Arabidopsis thaliana: one gene and its partners. The protein of the gene in region 1 interacts with the protein of each later gene in a pairwise test. Each region holds a gene or a part of one and is shown in the gene's direction. Other genes may lie near its edges. The genes, in order: CLPS3, AT1G66500, PCFS4 and AT5G43620.

Region 1 (5,444 bases):
AGACACGCTTTCATCATTGGTTCGGCCGGAGGAGTTTTAGCGGTTTTAATCGGTGCCTTGTGTTTCACGGCCTACAAGAAGAAACAAGGATATCAAGGAGGCGACTCTCACACATCAAGTTGGCTTCCTATATATGGAAACTCTACCACATCAGGAACCAAATCAACCATCTCAGGGAAGAGCAACAATGGAAGTCACCTATCCAATCTCGCAGCAGGTTTATGCCGTAGATTCTCTTTACCAGAAATCAAACACGGAACACAAAACTTCGATGATTCCAACGTCATTGGAGTTGGAGGGTTTGGTAAAGTCTACAAAGGAGTTATAGACGGCACAACTAAAGTAGCGGTAAAAAAATCAAACCCAAATTCAGAACAAGGACTCAACGAATTCGAGACAGAAATCGAACTCCTCTCAAGACTAAGACACAAACACTTAGTCTCCTTGATAGGATACTGCGACGAGGGAGGAGAAATGTGTCTCGTATACGATTACATGGCATTTGGAACACTCCGTGAGCATCTATACAACACAAAGAAACCACAATTAACTTGGAAACGAAGGCTAGAGATAGCTATTGGAGCAGCAAGAGGATTACATTACCTTCACACAGGAGCAAAGTACACGATTATACACAGAGACGTTAAAACAACTAACATCCTCGTAGATGAGAACTGGGTAGCCAAAGTTTCAGACTTTGGGTTATCCAAAACTGGACCTAACATGAATGGAGGCCATGTAACAACCGTCGTCAAAGGAAGCTTCGGTTATTTAGATCCTGAATACTTCAGAAGACAACAACTGACTGAGAAATCAGACGTTTACTCATTCGGAGTTGTTCTGTTCGAAATCTTATGCGCAAGACCAGCGTTAAACCCGAGTTTGCCTAAGGAACAAGTGAGTCTCGGAGACTGGGCAATGAATTGCAAACGAAAAGGGAATTTAGAGGATATAATCGATCCGAATCTGAAAGGGAAGATCAATGCAGAGTGTTTGAAGAAATTTGCAGACACGGCGGAGAAGTGTCTTAACGATAGTGGATTAGAACGGCCGACAATGGGAGATGTTTTGTGGAATCTCGAATTCGCACTTCAGCTTCAAGAGACTGCTGACGGGACTCGTCATCGGACTCCGAATAATGGAGGAAGCTCTGAGGATCTCGGTAGAGGAGGCATGGCGGTTAACGTCGCCGGTAGAGATGATGTGAGTGATCTCTCCTCAGAGGACAATACCGAAATATTCTCTCAGATTGTAAATCCCAAAGGACGATAAGGTAATTTCGCAATACGTATACTAATTTTGTTTTTCTTCTCTTAATTTTGGTGTTAAAGTTTTTGTTTTTGTGTTAATTGCAGGATTAGAAAAGGAATCTGGGTAACAAAATTTGAAGATGATTTCATTTATATTGAGTGGTATTTTTCAATAAAAACATTTGTAAAATTATATCCCTTTGTGATGTTACATGTAATCAAAAATACATTGTATTAAGATTCGTAGTTAGAATTTTTCTATGGTAAATTTTTGTATTAAGTTATATTTTACTGAGTTTATTAAGCTAGAAACAAATTATTATATTAACCGGAAAACTGTATAGTAGAAAAATGGAAAAGGTTGTTCAGGTCGGTTAACGGCTCAAACCGGGATTAATTCGTTTTCCAATTTTGCCTTAATCGAAAAAATGGAAATTACAGCGATATAAACCTAAAGTAAATTGATTTCGTAAGTCGAATTCACTGTTTCTCCTCAAACACACACACACGTTTGCGAATCTCCGACGTCCGTTTCTCCTCGCCGTAGAATCGCCGTTCATTCTTTCGCCGCCTTCAGTCTTCCCTCCATTGACCCTTTTTTTGGTAATTCGTCTTCTTTTTGCTCTCTCGTTCTCTCTTTTTCGATTTCTGGGTACAGAAATCGATGGCTCTCGTTTTTCTTTCTCTGTTGCTGTTCTATTACTTTCTCTTATATATATATGATTGTTACTCTAGTGATGAATTTTGATACATTGGTTGTTTGAAATTGATCTCTGTTGTGCTTTTATAATTCCGGGGTCAAGATTGGCTGTTTAAATCTAGTAAAGTTTGCATTTTTCTTTTCTGTTTGCAGAGATTAACTTGATTATACTTTTGTTTTTAAGAAGAAGAAGAGCGATTACAAGCGCAAGTGTGTATAATGACTTAAAGAGAGCTCCTGTTACTCCGAGTGATAGATAGTCTACAATTATATCTTACTCTGAGTGAAAGCAATGGCGTACGGTGGTCCGTCCATGAATCCACCGGCTTTGAGTGGAGCTGTTCCCGGGTCTGCTAATCTGAAGCAAGTGAAATTGGAGAGAGAAAGCGAGCTCAGGATCGAAGTCTCTGAAGAGCCTCTCAGACTCCGTGTGGTTAACGGGACCGCTGAGATTTTTGGCTCTGAACTGCCTCCTGAAATATGGCGTACCTTCCCTCCTCGCATGAAATTTGCGGTATGTGTTTTCTTAATCCTTGGTTTTTAGAGCGATCGTAAGCATTATGCTTTATGGCTTATAGATAAAATGTAGCTTGTTGGTAACATATTTGGTGTTGGGTTTGTTGGTAGAAAATAACTAGCCATTCTTGATTTAGTTTCTTTTAGTGGTTATCTTTCTTAAAGTGGGTTCTTGAGTTACTATTGAATTCACCCTCTGGCCTTTTGGGGTTGGAAAGGTACATCCTTTGCCAGTGAAGTTTGAGGGTTTTTGGGTTTGAGTTGGATGAAAGACTTATGATTTAGGTTGTAAATGAAGATTATGCTGTCTAGGTAAGAATTGTTAAGTGGGTTGTATAAAAAGATTGATGATAGATGTGATTTTCCCCCCCAATTTCTTTCTTTTCTATTTTTCCTTCTGCTAATGATTTATGTAAAGTTCATAATCGGAGCTCTGAAACACCGTGCTTACCATCTTGTGCCTTTTGATTATTGTCAGGTTTTCACTTGGTATGGAGCGACAATTGAGATGGATGGTGTCACGGAAACTGACTATACAGCAGATGAGGTTGGATTACTTGTTTCATTCCTACGCTTGCTTTAAATATGTAGAGCAAATTTTGTTTACTAACTACATCTCTGTTTCCAGACGCCGATGGTCAGCTACATTAATGTGCATGCCATACTAGATGCAAGGAGACGTTTTGCCAAAGCTTCCACATCTAATGACCCAGAATCTTCTCAGGTACTTTTCTTCGATATTCAATATTATTGTATTGCAATATCAGCATAGTTAAAACACTTGGTTCTTAAGAATTCACTTAATGCAGGGACCTCGGGTTATTGTAGTAGGGCCTACGGATTCCGGGAAGAGCACATTGACAAAGATGCTCCTTAGTTGGGCAGCTAAACAGGGATGGAGACCTACATTTGTAGACCTTGATGTTGGCCAAGGCTCGATTACAATACCAGGATCTATTGCTGCTGCCCCTATTGAAATGCCACTGGATCCAGTTGAAGGGTTTCCTCTTGATATGGCCCTTGTTTACTACTACGGCCACGCATCACCAAAGTAAGTGATTCTCAAATTTCTCCTACCCATCATACGTTATTCCCCTCGATGAGGAATTTAAATATGTCTACTTTGGCTCTCTCAGTATGAACGTTGAACTGTACAAAGCTCTGGTGAAAGAGCTTGCTCAAGTTCTGGAGAAACAGTTTGTCGGAAACCCTGAATCGCGAGCTGCTGGAATGGTGATCAACACAATGGGATGGATCGAGGGGATTGGTTATGAGGTAAAAGTTAGATCCTTTTTAGCGTATTTTTTGGTATAGTTAGCTCCTTCTTAGTGGATTTCATTATGCAAATGCCTGATAAAGAACTGTATCTGCTTCGTCTTGCAGCTGCTTCTCCACGCAATAGACACATTCAATGCCTCGGTTGTACTTGTATTGGGTCAGGAAAAACTCTTCAGCAGGCTTAAAGATGTGCTGAGAAGTAAGAGTAATGTCGACGTCGTGAAGCTTCACAAGTCTGGTGGAGTTGTAGCCAGGGTCAAAGAGGTCCGTAAAAGATCAAGGAACTTTAAGATTCAGGTAAAATTTTCAATCTCAAATCTTTTAATATCCCTTTTTTCATGCCTTTGGAGGTGTAACTCAGAACTCAAAAACTGAATTTTCCAGGAATATTTTTACGGTTTATCGAAAGAACTCTCTCCGTATGCCAATACATCGAGTTTCAGTGATCTGCAAGTGTTCCGAATTGGTGGTGGACCACAAGCGCCAAAATCGGCTCTTCCAGCCGGGTCTACCTCGGTTTCAAATCCGTTGCGGGTGACGCCTGTAAATATCGATGATCGGGATCTGCTGCATTCTGTTCTTGCTGTCTCATACGCAGAAGAACCAGACCAGATCATCTCAAGGTAATCTCTAAAAGTTCTTGCTGTTTCCAGAATCAAAGGCTTTCGTGTATGTTTTCTTCGTGATTTTGATATTTCTTTCTCTCTGTTTTTTCTTTGATACAGCAATGTTTCTGGGTTTGTGTATGTGACGGAAGTTAATGTGCAGAAGAAGAAGATAACGTATTTAGCACCATCGCCTGGGACATTACCTAGCAAGTTGTTGGTCGCTGGATCATTGGCATGGCTTGAGTCAGTATGACTTACTTAGAGAAGAGAGGAGCCATGTTTTTTGCTTGAGAGAATGATGCAGCAGCTCGATTATGTAACGTTAATTACAAATAGCCTTTTTCTTCTTTATCAAATGCACAAGTTTTTGAGTTTAAAAGATCATTATTGCGGAATAGATGGTTGGTTGTAATTTGATGTTATGAAGTGAGCAAAAAATAATGTTGATTTACTAGTGCGTTAGTTCTGTTTGTTTGGTTCAGCATATTCAAGTGATGTGTGTAGCATTTTTAAATTTGATAGGTCGAACATATCTTATGTTATTGGATGATTTCGAAATAGTATATGATAATGTTCAAAGTCACACATGTATTATTATTGGTTATTAATTCAACTAAATTACTATCACATTTTAAGTCACTTCAATTGTATTGTTGTATAAGCTCTGTATTTAGAATCGGATCCGAAGAATATTAGTTGGTCTGTCTAACCAAGTCGCATTAATCTTATATGATTCTCCTAGAATAGAAAAGAATATTTTATTCTTATGCTAATTCAATTGAAAGATAATTAAAACGGATATGTTTTGAGTTCAAAATGTTAAAATTGTCATTCATTTGCAATAGACAAAACATATTTAGAAAATTCTAAATTTACATGCTACAAGATCTTCTATATGCTTTAATAGCCTCATTTTTTTTTTTAACCCTGCACATTAAATACAGAAAATTTCAATCATTTGACTGATGATTAGAGATTTATAGATATAAGAAGAAAGTTTCACTTATCATTGTGAATATGATAAAACAAGAATAATAAAAATATCGTATAATTAACAACAAGAACAACAAACACAAAAAAAAAAACAGAAAG
Region 2 (4,109 bases), on another chromosome or scaffold:
AATAAGTACATGTTACGGTAGGTAGCACATACCAAAAATGCAACAAATGAAAATTGTAGCTCCCCAAGTAGCAAGTCTTCCGAGTCTTTGTACTCTTTTGACAATACGCTTTCTAGCAATTGAGTCTATACAAAGAAAAATAGAGGAAATGGCTTCACATGAATTTTGAGATTCAAAGTTCAAACATCTACTGAAAATGTAAAGAGGAAGGATCAAGTAAGAGGAGATACCTTGTCAAGATTCATAGAGGTTAGCTCCTGTCCAGACATTCCCTTGTGCTTTATAATCCGAGGAATAGACGTGTAGTAAAACCTATTCCCTTTAGGTTGCTCAGTAGATGATGTCGTAAACTTGCTTTTTTTCATCTGCGTATCAAGTGCTATTTCCATTGCCGTTTTAGGTCCACCTTTTAGAATAGCAGATTCATATGTGACTGTTATTTCTCCTCCAACTGGCTCTGCAAAATTGAACATAAAATTTTTGAACAAGCCAAACTTTACAGTGTTCACTACTCGAGTGAGGGAAAACATTAACAATGTGGTTAAAGAATCCTCCAAATTATAAGGTTCACATACCAAACTTTTCAACAACATCCTTTGTAATGTAGTTAGATAAGTGCCTCCACTCCCCATATTGCTTTAAATTGTATGGGCCAAGATTTTTGTCAAACTCTAAAGACCTGACTGCTTGAGAATATCTCTCTTCCTAGCAACAAAAGAGCAGAATAAATATAAATAAGCCAGCACTAATTCTCAAGCCTACTAACTAATGGCTCATGCAACATGATTTGATTATATTCCTATCTAGCAGGCATTGAACAAATATCACAAAGAGGCAAATCGCTGACCAACATATACGCAACATTGAGAAAATTACTGCACTAGGTTATTAAAAGGACATACCTCTTCTTCAGACACTTTGGTTAACCACTCGTCTTGCTGATTCCATTTGCGTACAATAACCTTGTATATTCAACAAAAGATAGTAAATATATATCTACTTACAATATATACAGTTTCATGGTGCTACTAACAGGATATCACAGAGAGACAAGAACATTACTAAATGTTTTCTCTGTAATAGCGATCTATATAGATAACTACAAACACAAACTATTCAAAGTTGTGATTCCAAACCTGAGAAGGGGCAACATCAACAAAGAAGCCAATGGTGGGTGAAAACTCTCTACCATCCCTGAAGATAAGAAAATGAAAGTCTGCATTATCAGCCAAAGCATATCGATAACCATGGTACGGTTTTTAATGAGTACGACATCACAAATTTAAAAAACCATTTAAAGACTTAAACCTTGTCGATGAACTATAGAATACAAAGTGAATTCCAGGAGGTATCATCTTAATCCCTTTGAAAGCTGGTCCAACTGCGAATATCTGTAACCACAATACAAAACATTGTCGTTATAGGCCAATGAATATGCTCAAGAAATATGTTTCACAATCATACAGAAATCAAAATCCATAGCCAATAAAGAATCTTCAAAAGCTCAAAAACCTCAAATTTTAATCATATTCAAACTCAAAATACACTTTCTTCTCGAGATATTTACTAAACCAAAAAGAAACTATACAAGGAGAATCAGTTCCACATTAAAAAGCTTTAAACTTGGAATAAAGTAACAAACTTTGAAACTGAGAAAAGTTGAAATTCGATAAAAGCTTTAAACTTAGAAGTAGACAAACCTGAGTATCGATTCCGACCAGTGTATATTGAGGAACATCGAGAAATAGAAGTGTAGCTCCATGCTTCACAAGCTCTAGTGCCTTCTCAGAATCCATAGCTTCCTTCTTCTTCGTCTTCACTAATTTAGCGTCGAATTCAATAAAGAACAGCAAAATACAGAGCGGAACAACGAGTAGATTCCAGAAGGCCCAATTTAACAGGCCCATTAACAAACTGGGCCTATAAACCGTGGCCCAAAACACGTGACAACGCGCGATTCACGCGGTTTACTTTATCAACCGACATAAACGTTTATTTATAGAGAAACCTATCTTCGCGTCTCTTCAGATTCGTTTTATTTTTCAATCGTTTCAATTTCTAAAATTCTCCTCTCTCAACGCAATCACCAAATCCAAATTTAGGGTTTCTTTTCTCTTTCTGCGATCGATCTCTGAAAACTCATAACTGTTGTTTAATCGTGAAGATGGCATCAAACGGATCTTTCTCTGCTCAGAGAAACGCAAACGCTAGAACAACGATGAAGAGAAGAAGCGACAATCGCGGTTACGGTGGCGGAATCGGAGGTTATCAAGAGGAGACGAACCGTTACGCGCCGCCGCAAAAACGTTTCAGATCACAAGCGCAACAGCAATTCCGATCTGGTCATAATCCTCTGTATCATCATCATGGTAGTAATAATAATAACGTGTCTAGGGTTTCTTCTCAATCATATAACAATTGCGGTGTTGATGTGATTGCTTCTAATTCAAGTTTTGCATTACGTAACAATGATTCTAACACCAACAATTATCAGAAACCCTTTGTTGCTGGTTATGGAAACCCTAATCCCCAAATTGTTCCTCTTCCATTACCTTATCGTAAGCTTGATGACAATCTCTCTTTAGATTCGTTACCTGATTGGGTTCCGAATTCAAGAACCCTAACTCCGAATTATCCTGTTAGGTCATCGAATTTTGTACCAAACACTCCTGTTTTTACGAATGTTCAAAATCCGATGAATCATTCGAACATGGTTTCAGTTGTGTCTCAATCTATGCATCAACCAATTGTTTTGAGCAAAGAATTGACTGATTTGCTTAGTCTTCTTAACAATGAGAAAGAGAAGAAAACTTTAGAAGCAAGTAATAGTGATTCTTTGCCTGTTGGATTAAGCTTTGATAATCCATCGTCACTTAATGTTCGACATGAATCTGTGATTAAGTCTCTGTATTCTGATATGCCGAGACAATGTTCATCGTGTGGGTTGAGATTCAAGTGTCAAGAAGAGCATAGTAAACACATGGATTGGCATGTAAGGAAGAACAGGTCGGTGAAAACCACTACAAGACTGGGTCAGCAACCGAAGAAATCGAGGGGATGGTTAGCAAGTGCATCTTTATGGCTTTGTGCAGCGACGGGAGGAGAGACGGTAGAAGTAGCATCTTTTGGAGGAGAAATGCAGAAGAAGAAAGGAAAGGACGAAGAACCAAAACAACTCATGGTGCCTGCGGATGAAGATCAGAAGAATTGCGCATTATGCGTAGAGCCGTTTGAAGAGTTCTTTAGCCATGAAGATGATGATTGGATGTATAAAGATGCAGTCTACTTAACCAAGAATGGTCGTATAGTTCATGTTAAGTGTATGCCTGAACCCCGACCTGCTAAGGATTTGAGAGAGCCTTCGAGGGTAATGTCTGTTACAGTTCCATCGGTTGCGAAAGCTATAGCCTGCTGATTGAGATTTTTAAGATCTCTGTTTTAGTCATTCGTTTTTTTAAGTAATGTACTTTACTTGAACAAGTTGTAACACAAATACAGTTCTATCAATTGAATCTCCTATTTTACTCTTATCGCCTCTTTACTCTTATGTGTCATTTAATGAATATTCATGCTTCTATATCTCTGTTTTAATCGTCGTTTAGTGTTGAAAAATCATCAAAAAAGTTGTAACTATATTAATCAGAAAAGATTAACGAAATGCTTTAGTTTACACTTAATAACAGAGACAAACGTGAAGCTCGTCTTCTTTTGATTCTCCTTAGGGTTTCTTACTTCGAGAAGAAGACAGAGTAATTCTCACAAACTTGTTTTGCTAATAAACGTTATAAAGCTTTTCAAAATCCTTTTTCAACCCTAATAGTTGATGAGAAATCGAAAAACAAACGAAGAACAATGATAATTCTGTTATTTCACATAAAGTCTCAAATGACAAATACAATGAAACACTCTATTTAAAGTAGAGTGTTTCGGTTTAACCAGGGAAATCACACTTGATTACCTGTTTACATAAACCAGACTCTCTATACCACTAAACCGAAATAAGGAAACCTTGAAACCTAATCGTCCCATGAATGTGCAATTAGCTTTTTCCCTAATTCCTTTGTGTATCTATATATATGTATGGACATTATCATTCTAATGAGATAACA
Region 3 (6,559 bases), on another chromosome or scaffold:
TTTAATGACTCTTCTAAAAAGATGTTCGTAATACAAAAAAATTAGCTTCCAAAACTTATAAAAGCTATATAGATCTTACTTTAAAAAATTAACAAATGCATTGAGCTCTTAATCACTTTCTAATGAATTCTTTTGTTCTACATATATCATGAATCATGACAAATAACATTCAATACCTACATACAACTTAACAAAATTACATTTTTTAATAAAAAAAGCCCGCGATTTGGTTCGGGTTTCGCCCTAGTACTAACTAGAGAAGAAAGAGATTTTCGAAGAAAAAATATGGAACATGTGAAAAGTTTAGAAGGTATGACACATATTGCTTAAACAAAATCATAAGAGGATGGAAAGAGACACTGTAAGAAAAAATGAAACAAATAAAACGAGTGCTTGCAAAAAGATAGGGAGAGTGATAGCTCTTTGTAAAAAAATTGTGAAGACAGAAATTCATATACATATTGAAAAGAATGTGAGAAAATATGAGTTGTTAAAGTAAAGTATAGATAAGCTTATGAATATACTTCTATATAATATCTTATTTTTAGACGAGCTATACTAACTAATGCAGCGAAGATAAACAAAAAAGAATAGTAAATTTACGGATTTCAAAATGAGAAAGTCGTCGAAGTTATTTTCCATAAAACAATTTATTTCATACATAAAAAGACGTCGTGATCCTAAATATCTAAAGCTAAAGAGAGAGTCATGAGCCAAAAAAATGTTCTTTTGATAAATGTTGTAAACCTAAAAGTTGTATTAAAGTTATTTTTAGTTTTGTATTTAAATTGTAACTATTGTCATGGTAATTTTAAAATTCAAAGAGTTTATAATATTAACAACAAGTAGACATATAAAAACATATCTTTTAAAAAATTTCTATAATAATTTTATTCACACAAAAAAATATTAAAAAGTTTTACAAATAGACCCATGCGTAGCGTGGATTCATAACCTAGGATTTAGAACGACTAATCGGGAGTTGCCACATAAATAATTAACATATTTAGTATCTAATTAATTAACATTTTTGAAAACAACCAATCGGGAGCTGCCACATCAATAATTAACATATTTAGCATCTAATTAATTAACATTTTTGAAAATAGCAATTACTTTATATTTTAAAATGTAAAAACAAAGGAACTAACAAATATTAAATTTAAACTTATAAAATAGGAAGCTATATAATTATAATTATGTAATAATAAACTCAAACCCTTATAGGATTTTATACAACTAATCCAACATTTTTTTAATATAACTTAAAGAAACGTAACAAGGACGTGGTTTGATGGTGGTGTTTTTAACTGTATCAATTTGAATCAAGTTCTCGAAGATATGCTCGTGGCAACTACCATGAGAATTCCACTTTTTCGGTCATGTGACAACCACACAAATTTCCGAGTTTCACGAGTTCAAAATCGGTGTTTCAACTCGTAACTTAGCCTTGAACGCATAAAAGCGAACTGAATGAATTAGAGTTGTAATGTTGTATTTATTTTTGTAGATTGTTTTAATCCGCTTCTTGCTAATCTCTGTATTTCTGTCAAAAATCAAAAATAATATAAAATCTAATTGTCTACCAAAAAAAAAATCATTCATAGTCCATGAGTAGAATCAAAACAAGATAGATTCAAACTTTATCAAGATAGATAAATAAGCTAAGAAATGAAATAGTTCCTCAAAACTAAATTTAGTGTCACCAAGAGGCAAGATCAAACTTTTCAAATAAGGGAAAGAAGAGAATTGCAACGTGATTAATTGATGAGGTCATAGTAAAAGTCAAAAATCTGTGTGACTCAAAACGGGTAAAAACAATAATTGGGATGTAGTTGATAACTCTAAAAAAAAAGGGACAAAAATGAGATTTGCATAAAGTAGAGATACAAAATTGAGAAGAAAAAAAAATCCTCTTCACTAAAAAAAAAAAAACTTCCGTTATCGATCTCTATCTCTCTCTTCCCCCACAAGGGTGGCGATTCGAGGAGTTTCCATGGTGGAACAGAAACCCTAGAGCCTTTATGCTGCCACTAATTATCACTCTTCACTATTGAATTGGGGATGGACTCAGAGAAAATCCTCAATCCAAGACTTGTTTCGATTAATAGCACCAGCCGCAAAGGTATGTCCGTTGAGTTGCCGCAGAAACCGCCGCCACCGCCGTCGTTGTTAGACCGGTTTAAAGCTTTGCTTAATCAGCGTGAAGATGAGTTCGGTGGTGGTGAAGAGGTTTTGCCTCCGAGTATGGATGAGATTGTTCAGCTTTATGAGGTTGTTTTGGGTGAGCTTACTTTCAATTCTAAGCCTATTATCACTGATCTCACTATTATCGCTGGTGAACAACGGGAACATGGTGAAGGAATCGCTAATGCTATTTGCACTCGAATCCTTGAGGTTTGCTTTCTTCTTATTTGTTTCCACTTTCTAGCCTTATTGTATAGTATGTAAGTGTAGAAGTGGGAAAAAAATTAGGTTTTTGATTGTCAGAGATTAGTGTTTGGTTTGTGGTTTAGTGAAATGGCTGCTTCTGAGTTACCTGTGGGTGTATATATGCAGGCTCCTGTTGAGCAAAAGTTGCCATCTCTGTATCTTTTAGACAGCATTGTTAAGAACATTGGGCGGGATTATGGTCGCTATTTCTCATCCCGTCTACCCGAGGTGAGCAGTCTACAAGAAGATGTTTACTTAAATGATTTGAATAGGGCTGAAGCATACCCATGAGCTGTTTTGATCCTATTCTGCTTTAGGTCTTCTGCCTTGCATATAGGCAAGCACATCCGAGTTTACATCCGTCAATGCGTCACCTGTTTGGGACTTGGTCGAGTGTTTTTCCACCACCTGTACTACGCAAGATTGATATGCAATTGCAACTTTCATCTGCAGCAAACCAATCTTCCGTAGGGGCTTCTGAGCCTAGTCAACCAACGAGAGGTATACATGTTAATCCAAAATATCTTCGCAGGCTGGAGCCCTCAGCCGCCGAAAATGTAAGCCTTTCTCTTTGTCATTATGAACAGAGATGACATTCTTTTTTTAGGTGCATCTGCAACCTTGAAGCTATGGTGTGTTAATTTTATATAAGTGTACTAAGTAAAACGGGTATTAGATTAGTTTGGCCTCATAGTGGTCTTATCCATTGTATTTCTTTAAAGTTTTGTTAGTTAGACGAGATAGATGTTTACATTCTTCAAGTAATCAATCTTGACTGGAAGGGAGTTGTTGTTATGGCCTCTCTCAGTTATACATGATGAGTAGGTCACTGGGACTCTGGTACATTAGAAATGATCTTGTTAGCACATGTAGAGGGTTTTTTTTTGGTTATAGTACAGTAGATCACTGTTTATGCATCATGTGTCGTTTGGAACTGTTTTTATATGTTTTTTTTCAAAGAGTGACTATACCTGAGATGCATATTTCCTTAATTGCTCTTGCTTGACATGCAGAATTTGAGAGGAATTAATTCCAGTGCAAGAGTTTATGGCCAAAATTCACTCGGTGGGTATAATGATTTCGAAGATCAGTTAGAGAGCCCATCTTCACTGTCTAGTACACCAGATGGTTTTACCAGGAGGTCTAATGATGGAGCTAATCCTTCTAATCAAGCTTTTAACTATGGAATGGGTCGAGCTACTAGCAGAGATGATGAACATATGGAATGGCGAAGAAAGGAAAACTTAGGCCAAGGAAATGATCACGAAAGACCTAGAGCGTTGATAGATGCATATGGAGTTGACACCAGCAAACACGTAACGATCAATAAACCAATTCGCGATATGAATGGCATGCACAGTAAGATGGTTACACCATGGCAGAACACTGAGGAAGAAGAGTTTGATTGGGAAGATATGAGCCCTACCCTAGATCGTAGCAGAGCTGGTGAATTTTTGCGATCATCTGTACCAGCATTAGGAAGTGTAAGGGCAAGACCCAGAGTAGGAAACACAAGTGATTTTCATTTAGATTCTGACATTAAGAATGGTGTAAGTCATCAGCTACGAGAAAATTGGAGTTTGTCACAAAATTATCCACATACATCCAACCGTGTTGATACAAGAGCAGGAAAAGACTTGAAAGTATTGGCTTCATCTGTAGGGTTAGTTTCATCAAACAGTGAATTCGGGGCTCCTCCATTTGATAGCATTCAAGATGTTAACTCACGTTTTGGCCGGGCTCTTCCTGATGGGACATGGCCCCATTTGAGTGCTAGAGGACCCAACTCTCTCCCTGTACCTTCTGCTCATTTGCATCATTTGGCAAATCCCGGTAATGCGATGTCAAATCGCTTGCAAGGTAAGCCTTTATATAGGCCCGAAAACCAGGTCTCTCAGAGTCATCTTAATGATATGACTCAACAGAATCAGATGCTAGTTAATTATTTGCCATCCTCATCTGCTATGGCTCCAAGGCCAATGCAATCGTTGTTAACCCACGTAAGTCATGGGTACCCTCCACATGGGTCAACCATTAGACCATCTTTATCAATCCAAGGTGGGGAAGCCATGCATCCTCTTTCTTCAGGAGTTTTATCTCAGATAGGAGCCTCTAATCAACCACCAGGTGGCGCATTCTCTGGTCTGATTGGCTCTCTCATGGCTCAAGGTTTGATCTCATTGAACAATCAGCCTGCTGGTCAGGTAATTATTCAAATCATGTCCTTGAGAGTCGGTTTGTTCTTAGTTATTGCTTTATCTTGAATTGTTGGTTTATATATTCAGGGACCATTGGGGTTGGAGTTTGATGCAGACATGCTCAAGATACGTAATGAGTCTGCAATCAGTGCTTTATATGGGGATCTCCCGAGGCAATGCACAACCTGTGGTCTACGCTTCAAGTGCCAAGAAGAGCACAGTAAGCACATGGATTGGCATGTAACCAAGAACAGGATGTCCAAGAACCATAAGCAGAACCCTTCTCGGAAATGGTTTGTAAGTGCTAGCATGTGGCTCAGTGGTGCAGAAGCACTTGGAGCTGAAGCAGTACCAGGGTTCTTGCCCACGGAGCCAACAACAGAAAAGAAGGATGACGAAGATATGGCAGTTCCTGCAGATGAAGACCAAACTTCATGTGCATTATGTGGTGAGCCATTTGAAGACTTTTATAGTGATGAAACCGAGGAATGGATGTACAAAGGTGCGGTATACATGAATGCTCCTGAAGAATCAACAACAGATATGGACAAGTCTCAGTTAGGTCCTATAGTGCATGCAAAGTGCAGGCCAGAGTCCAATGGGGTAAGCCATTCCATGCATTTTCATTAGCTTCATTTGTGTCTAGTTGAATCCATTTTCATTTTCGCTGCTAGACATTTATCCAGTGACGACCTCTTGATTTCCCGATCATGGCTTTTTCAGGGTGATATGGAAGAGGGTAGTCAGAGGAAAAAGATGCGGAGTTAGATCCCTTAGACCGAATTTTAGGTCTTTTTCTTGACTACATTTAAGTTACATTCTTATTTCTTCATCATCTATATGCACTTAGTCACAGAATACCACCAATGAAGAGAAATGATGGAGAGAGTCTTCTTTCTCCTAAAACTGTACCATTGAAAAAAAGAGGTTTACACCCACATATATTATCATTCTTTATGCCTCTAAATTCCTGTTGTGCCTTAGGACATGGATATCGTGTAACTGTTCTGCATTCTCTGCTACACCTAACCTGGGGTGCTTGTAGTAGTAAAATCAGATGTCGCAACAGTAGTTTCCCCATGTAAATGGAATACAATGTCTCTGTTTCGGATTGTCTTTTTCTTTTTCATCTTTAGATATTGCAGGGAAAGCCCGAGAAGACTGATATTCGAATGTGAACAGATTTCTTATGATGAATGGATCTCATAGATGCTGTTGCTAAGAGAACCAGTTTCAGGTTTCTTCTTTAGAGCTTTCCCTGTCTGAGTTTTACCTTTCTATGTTAGGCTGTTAGCTAAAAATGTTAGTTAACATAACTCTCTTTAAGCGTATTTGTTCTCTTGACTTTGTCTATAATGAAACAAGTTTTACTTTTCTTCTATCTGAACCTTTTGCTTTTGAAATTTCCACTACTTGTATCTTCATACCTACATGATACAGAGCCGGATTTATGTCGAAGTAGATTGAACGATAGTTAAAGCTTTCGAACTTACTTGGCTTTTTGCTCGATCAAACTAGAGTTTTTTCATGACTGTTACATTTGAAATATGGAATTATAAAGATTTAAAGGTTATGATTTAGTTCTGGTAGTACCTTATAGGACTGCAGAGCAAACTCAGTTCAAATCTGGCTTTGTCTCAACCGTTAGTCTCTAAACAAGAGTATGTGATGATCAATAGATGTAATGGCTGGAGTAAAATTCATGTTTGTTATATACATTGTGAAAATAGTCTATTATAGTATGAATATAAGAAAACAGCTTGCAATATGCAATATGAACTAAGCTAGAACAAAAGATCAGGTTAAGAACACACATCATTGCCCTTTTATTTTGCCTTTGTTAGAAAATTGGACCGTTGGTTGAATGGGATAAGAGAGAGCTAACAGAAACTAGTAGTGTACTAATAACAAAGATTTTAACTCCATAT
Region 4 (3,901 bases), on another chromosome or scaffold:
TATTTATAACGTTGTAAATTTATGGTGATATCTGTTATCTACTAACTTAATTAGATTGATTAATTGATATTCTTACGGATTTGGTTTTCGTTAACCATAAGGAATTTGCTATATCAATAGAAAACAGTAATCGTTTTGTGTAACATAAATATTAAAGTGTCAAATTAAGGATGTGTTCTTTTTGTTGTCATCGCAGGACTCTCTCTAGGCGTTTTAAACATGACAATAGTGATACCACAAATGGTTGTATCATTTGGAGTTGGTCCTATTGATGCGTTATTTGGAGGTGGGAATTTACCAGGATTTGTGGTTGGAGCTATTGCAGCGGCAATCAGCAGTGTTGTGGCATTTTCCGTTTTACCATAATTTTTTTTGCGTTTTATTTGGTATATATGGACATGTTTAATATTATTGTAGCACTAGATAAGGACCCATACATGTATACTTGAAATTAATTTAAATTTCTCCTGTTAAATTACTGAAATTAATTTAAAATTTATGGCAGTTCTTACAAATAACACAAAAAATAAGTTAATTCCAAATTTAGCAAATCATCTCCAAAGTTCCAAAGTAACACAAATTAAATACATAAAACTTTTTTTTTTAACTTTATGGATGAATTAGGAAAATGTCGCCTAAAGATAAAAAAACAATTCTCTTGAAAAAAAAATATTCTTATATACCACGGTTTAAAACATTTTGTTCCAAATTGACTCTTAATTCCCACAAATTTTCTTTCTCTGATGGTAGATTATATGAGTCACAAAATTATCATTATTCGGTAGTAACTATTATTTTCTTTGTTTCTTATTAATTAATTTTTTAGAAAAAAAAGTTTGTTTCATGAAGCAATTTTTTAGGTTTTCTATACACTATTTATTAGTTATTATTGATGAATTTTAAACTTCAAGACAAATAATTAAATATCAGTAGTTTAAAATTATATAAAAATGTAAATCACAAAAGTTAATACATTTATAATCAATTTTAACATGTTTTTTTTAATCTATGTATTTTTTTCTAAAAAATGAATAATTAAAACATGACTAAATTTTGGCGACTTTCTATATCGTTTTGGCTAGTTTAATTATTTTATATTTTAATTATTTACAAAGATTGATATTACTGTCTTCTTTTCTTTTCTATTTTTGAACTATATATCACTCGTAAAAACTTCATCTTACACAAAAAAAGAAAAAAAGGTGATACATACGAATCTAAAGACCTGACTGCTTGAGAATACCTCTCTTCCTGGCATCAAAGGGATTGAAAAGAATGAAAATTGCGCTGACCAACGTATAAGCAGGATTGTTAAATTTACTGCACTAGGTTATTAAAAGGCCATACCTCTTCTTCAGATACTTTGTTTAACCACTCGTCTTGCTGATTCCATTTGCGTACAATAACCTTGTTTAGTCAACAAAAGATAGTGAATATATATTCACTTACGGTTTATACAGTTCCATGGTGCTACTAACAGGATATCACAGAGACCAGAGACCAGAACATTACTAAATGACATTTGAGGAATTTGATAAAAGTTCAAATTCGATAAAAGCTTTAAACTTTGAAGAAGTAGTTAACAAACCTGAGTATCGATTCCAACAAGCGTATGCTGAGGAACATCGAGAAAGAGAAGCGTAGCTCCATGCTTTACAAGCTCTAGTGCCTTCTTAGAATCCATAGCTTCCTTCTTCAAAATAGAGCGGAACAACGACTATATTCCAGAAGCCCCATTAAACAGGCCCATTAAAATATTGGGCCTATAAAGCGTGGCCCAAAACATGTGACAACGCGCGATTCACGCGGTTTACTTTATCAACCGACATAATCACATAAACGTTTATTTATAGAGAAACCTATCTTCCTGCCTCTTCAGATTCGTTTTATTTTTCAATCGTTTCAATTTCTAAAATTCTCAACGCGATCACCCCAATCCAAATTTAGGGTTTCTTTTGTCTTTCTGCGATCGATCTCTGGTAACTCATAACTTGTTGTTGAATCGCGAAGATGGCATCAAACGGATCCTTCTCTGCTCAGAGAAACGCAAACGCTGGAACAACGATGAAGAGACGAAACGACAATCGCGGTTACGGTGGCGGAATCGGATGTTATCAAGAGGAGAGGAACCGTTACGCGCCGCCGCAAAAACGTTTCAGATCGCAACTGCAACAGCAATTCCGATCTGGTCATAATCCTCTGTATCATTATGGTAGTAATACTAATAATAACGTGTCTAGGGTTTCTTCTCAGTCATATAACAATTACGGTGTTGATGTGATTGCTTCTAATTCAAGTTTTGCTTTACCTAACAATGATTCTAACACCAACAATTATCAGAAACCCTTTGTTGTTTATGGAAACCCTAATCCCCAAATTGTTCCTCTTCCATTACCTTATCGTAAGCTTGATCCTTTAGATTCGTTGCCTCAATGGGTTCCAAATTCAACTCCGAATTATCCTGTTAGGTCATCGAATTTTGTACCAAACACACCTGATTTTACGAATGTTCAAAATCCGATGAATCATTCGAACATGGTTTCAGTTGTGTCTCAATCGATGCATCAACCAATTGTTTTAAGCAAAGAATTGACTGATTTGCTTAGTCTTCTTAACAATGAGAAAGAGAAGAAAACTTCAGAAGCAAGTAATAATGATTCATTGCCTGTTGGATTAAGCTTTGACAATCCATCATCGCTTAATGTTCGACATGAATCTGTGATTAAGTCTCTGTATTCTGATATGCCGAGGCAATGTACTTCGTGTGGGGTGAGATTCAAATGTCAAGAAGAGCATAGTAAACATATGGATTGGCACGTAAGGAAGAACAGGTCGGTGAAAACCACTACAAGACTTGGTCAGCAACCGAAGAAATCGAGGGGATGGTTAGCGAGTGCATCTTTATGGCTTTGTGCACCAACGGGAGGAGGGACCGTAGAAGTAGCATCTTTTGGAGGAGGAGAAATGCAGAAGAAGAATGAAAAGGATCAAGTACAAAAACAACACATGGTGCCTGCGGATGAAGATCAGAAGAATTGCGCGTTATGCGTAGAGCCGTTTGAAGAGTTCTTTAGCCATGAAGCTGATGACTGGATGTACAAAGATGCAGTCTACTTAACCAAGAATGGTCGTATAGTTCATGTTAAGTGTATGCCTGAACCCCGACCTGCTAAGGATTTGAGAGAGCCGTCGAGGGTAATGTCTGTTACAGTTCCATCGGTTGCGAAAGCTATACTCTGCTGATTGAGATTTTTTATATCTCTGTTTTAGTCATTCGTTTTTTTAAAAGTAAATGTACATTACATTAATCAAGATGTAACACAAATACAGTTCTATCAATTGAATCTCCTATTTTACTCTTATCACCTCTTTACTTTTAATCCGGAGTTATAGAGTCTGTTTTATTGTAATCCAGAATTATAGTATAGATTGTTCCGGATTAACCAGTGAAATCTCACTTGATTCCCGGTTTACATAAACCAGACTCTCTATACCAATAAACCGAAACAAGGAAACCAATTCCTTTGTGTAACTCTCTATATTTATTCTCATTCTAATGAGATAACACATTCACAATCTATAAGTATAATGATGATGTCTGATCTTCCGGTGGCTTTGGTAGAAGAGATACTCTCTAGGGTTCCATTAACATCTCTAAGCGCGGTGCGATCTACTTGTAAAACGTGGAACGCTGTAGGATTAACATCTCTGTAGACTTATATTGGTATATGGTTTATGCGTAAGATTTCTCTTTTAAACCTTTTAAAAGAAGAATCTTTTATTTTGTTAGGTAACCCCTCGTCGGCCCTTTAAGTTTCTTACACCACGTGATCGGTTATCCTATGTATATACTACGTTCGTGAATGACCTATTGGGTATCCAATGCAAATCACAAGGTTAG

Evidence for each region.
Region 2: the proteins of CLPS3 (region 1) and AT1G66500 interact in a two-hybrid assay, tested with the Arabidopsis thaliana proteins (one study listed by BioGRID).
Region 3: the proteins of CLPS3 (region 1) and PCFS4 interact in a two-hybrid assay, tested with the Arabidopsis thaliana proteins (3 studies listed by BioGRID).
Region 4: the proteins of CLPS3 (region 1) and AT5G43620 interact in a two-hybrid assay, tested with the Arabidopsis thaliana proteins (one study listed by BioGRID).

What each region holds. Positions count from the first base shown.
Region 1 is NC_003074.8:1,269,214-1,274,657, reverse strand, and holds CLPS3 (CLP-similar protein 3), read left to right. Parts: upstream 1-1,653; 5' UTR 1,654-1,853; exon of another isoform or gene 1,854-2,134; 5' UTR 2,135-2,242; coding exon 2,243-2,464; intron 2,465-2,944; coding exon 2,945-3,013; intron 3,014-3,094; coding exon 3,095-3,190; intron 3,191-3,275; coding exon 3,276-3,517; intron 3,518-3,602; coding exon 3,603-3,741; intron 3,742-3,849; coding exon 3,850-4,041; intron 4,042-4,128; coding exon 4,129-4,367; intron 4,368-4,469; coding exon 4,470-4,605; 3' UTR 4,606-4,897; downstream 4,898-5,444. Other genes in the region: ANX1 (Malectin/receptor-like protein kinase family protein), read left to right, coding at 1-1,272. UniProt on the Arabidopsis thaliana protein: Required for endonucleolytic cleavage during polyadenylation-dependent pre-mRNA 3'-end formation. Functions in gametophyte, embryo and postembryotic development.
Region 2 is NC_003070.9:24,810,568-24,814,676, reverse strand, and holds AT1G66500 (Pre-mRNA cleavage complex II), read left to right. Parts: upstream 1-2,015; 5' UTR 2,016-2,164; coding exon 2,165-3,415; 3' UTR 3,416-3,597; downstream 3,598-4,109. Other genes in the region: AT1G66510 (AAR2 protein family), read right to left, coding at 33-125, 231-457, 576-705, 903-962, 1,137-1,194, 1,309-1,391, 1,701-1,796.
Region 3 is NC_003075.7:2,470,019-2,476,577, forward strand, and holds PCFS4 (PCF11P-similar protein 4), read left to right. Parts: upstream 1-1,847; 5' UTR 1,848-2,064; coding exon 2,065-2,397; intron 2,398-2,559; coding exon 2,560-2,661; intron 2,662-2,750; coding exon 2,751-2,990; intron 2,991-3,446; coding exon 3,447-4,637; intron 4,638-4,718; coding exon 4,719-5,234; intron 5,235-5,354; coding exon 5,355-5,399; 3' UTR 5,400-6,007; downstream 6,008-6,559.
Region 4 is NC_003076.8:17,520,643-17,524,543, forward strand, and holds AT5G43620 (Pre-mRNA cleavage complex II), read left to right. Parts: upstream 1-1,843; 5' UTR 1,844-2,010; coding exon 2,011-3,243; 3' UTR 3,244-3,361; downstream 3,362-3,901. Other genes in the region: SUC6 (sucrose-proton symporter 6), read left to right, coding at 197-366.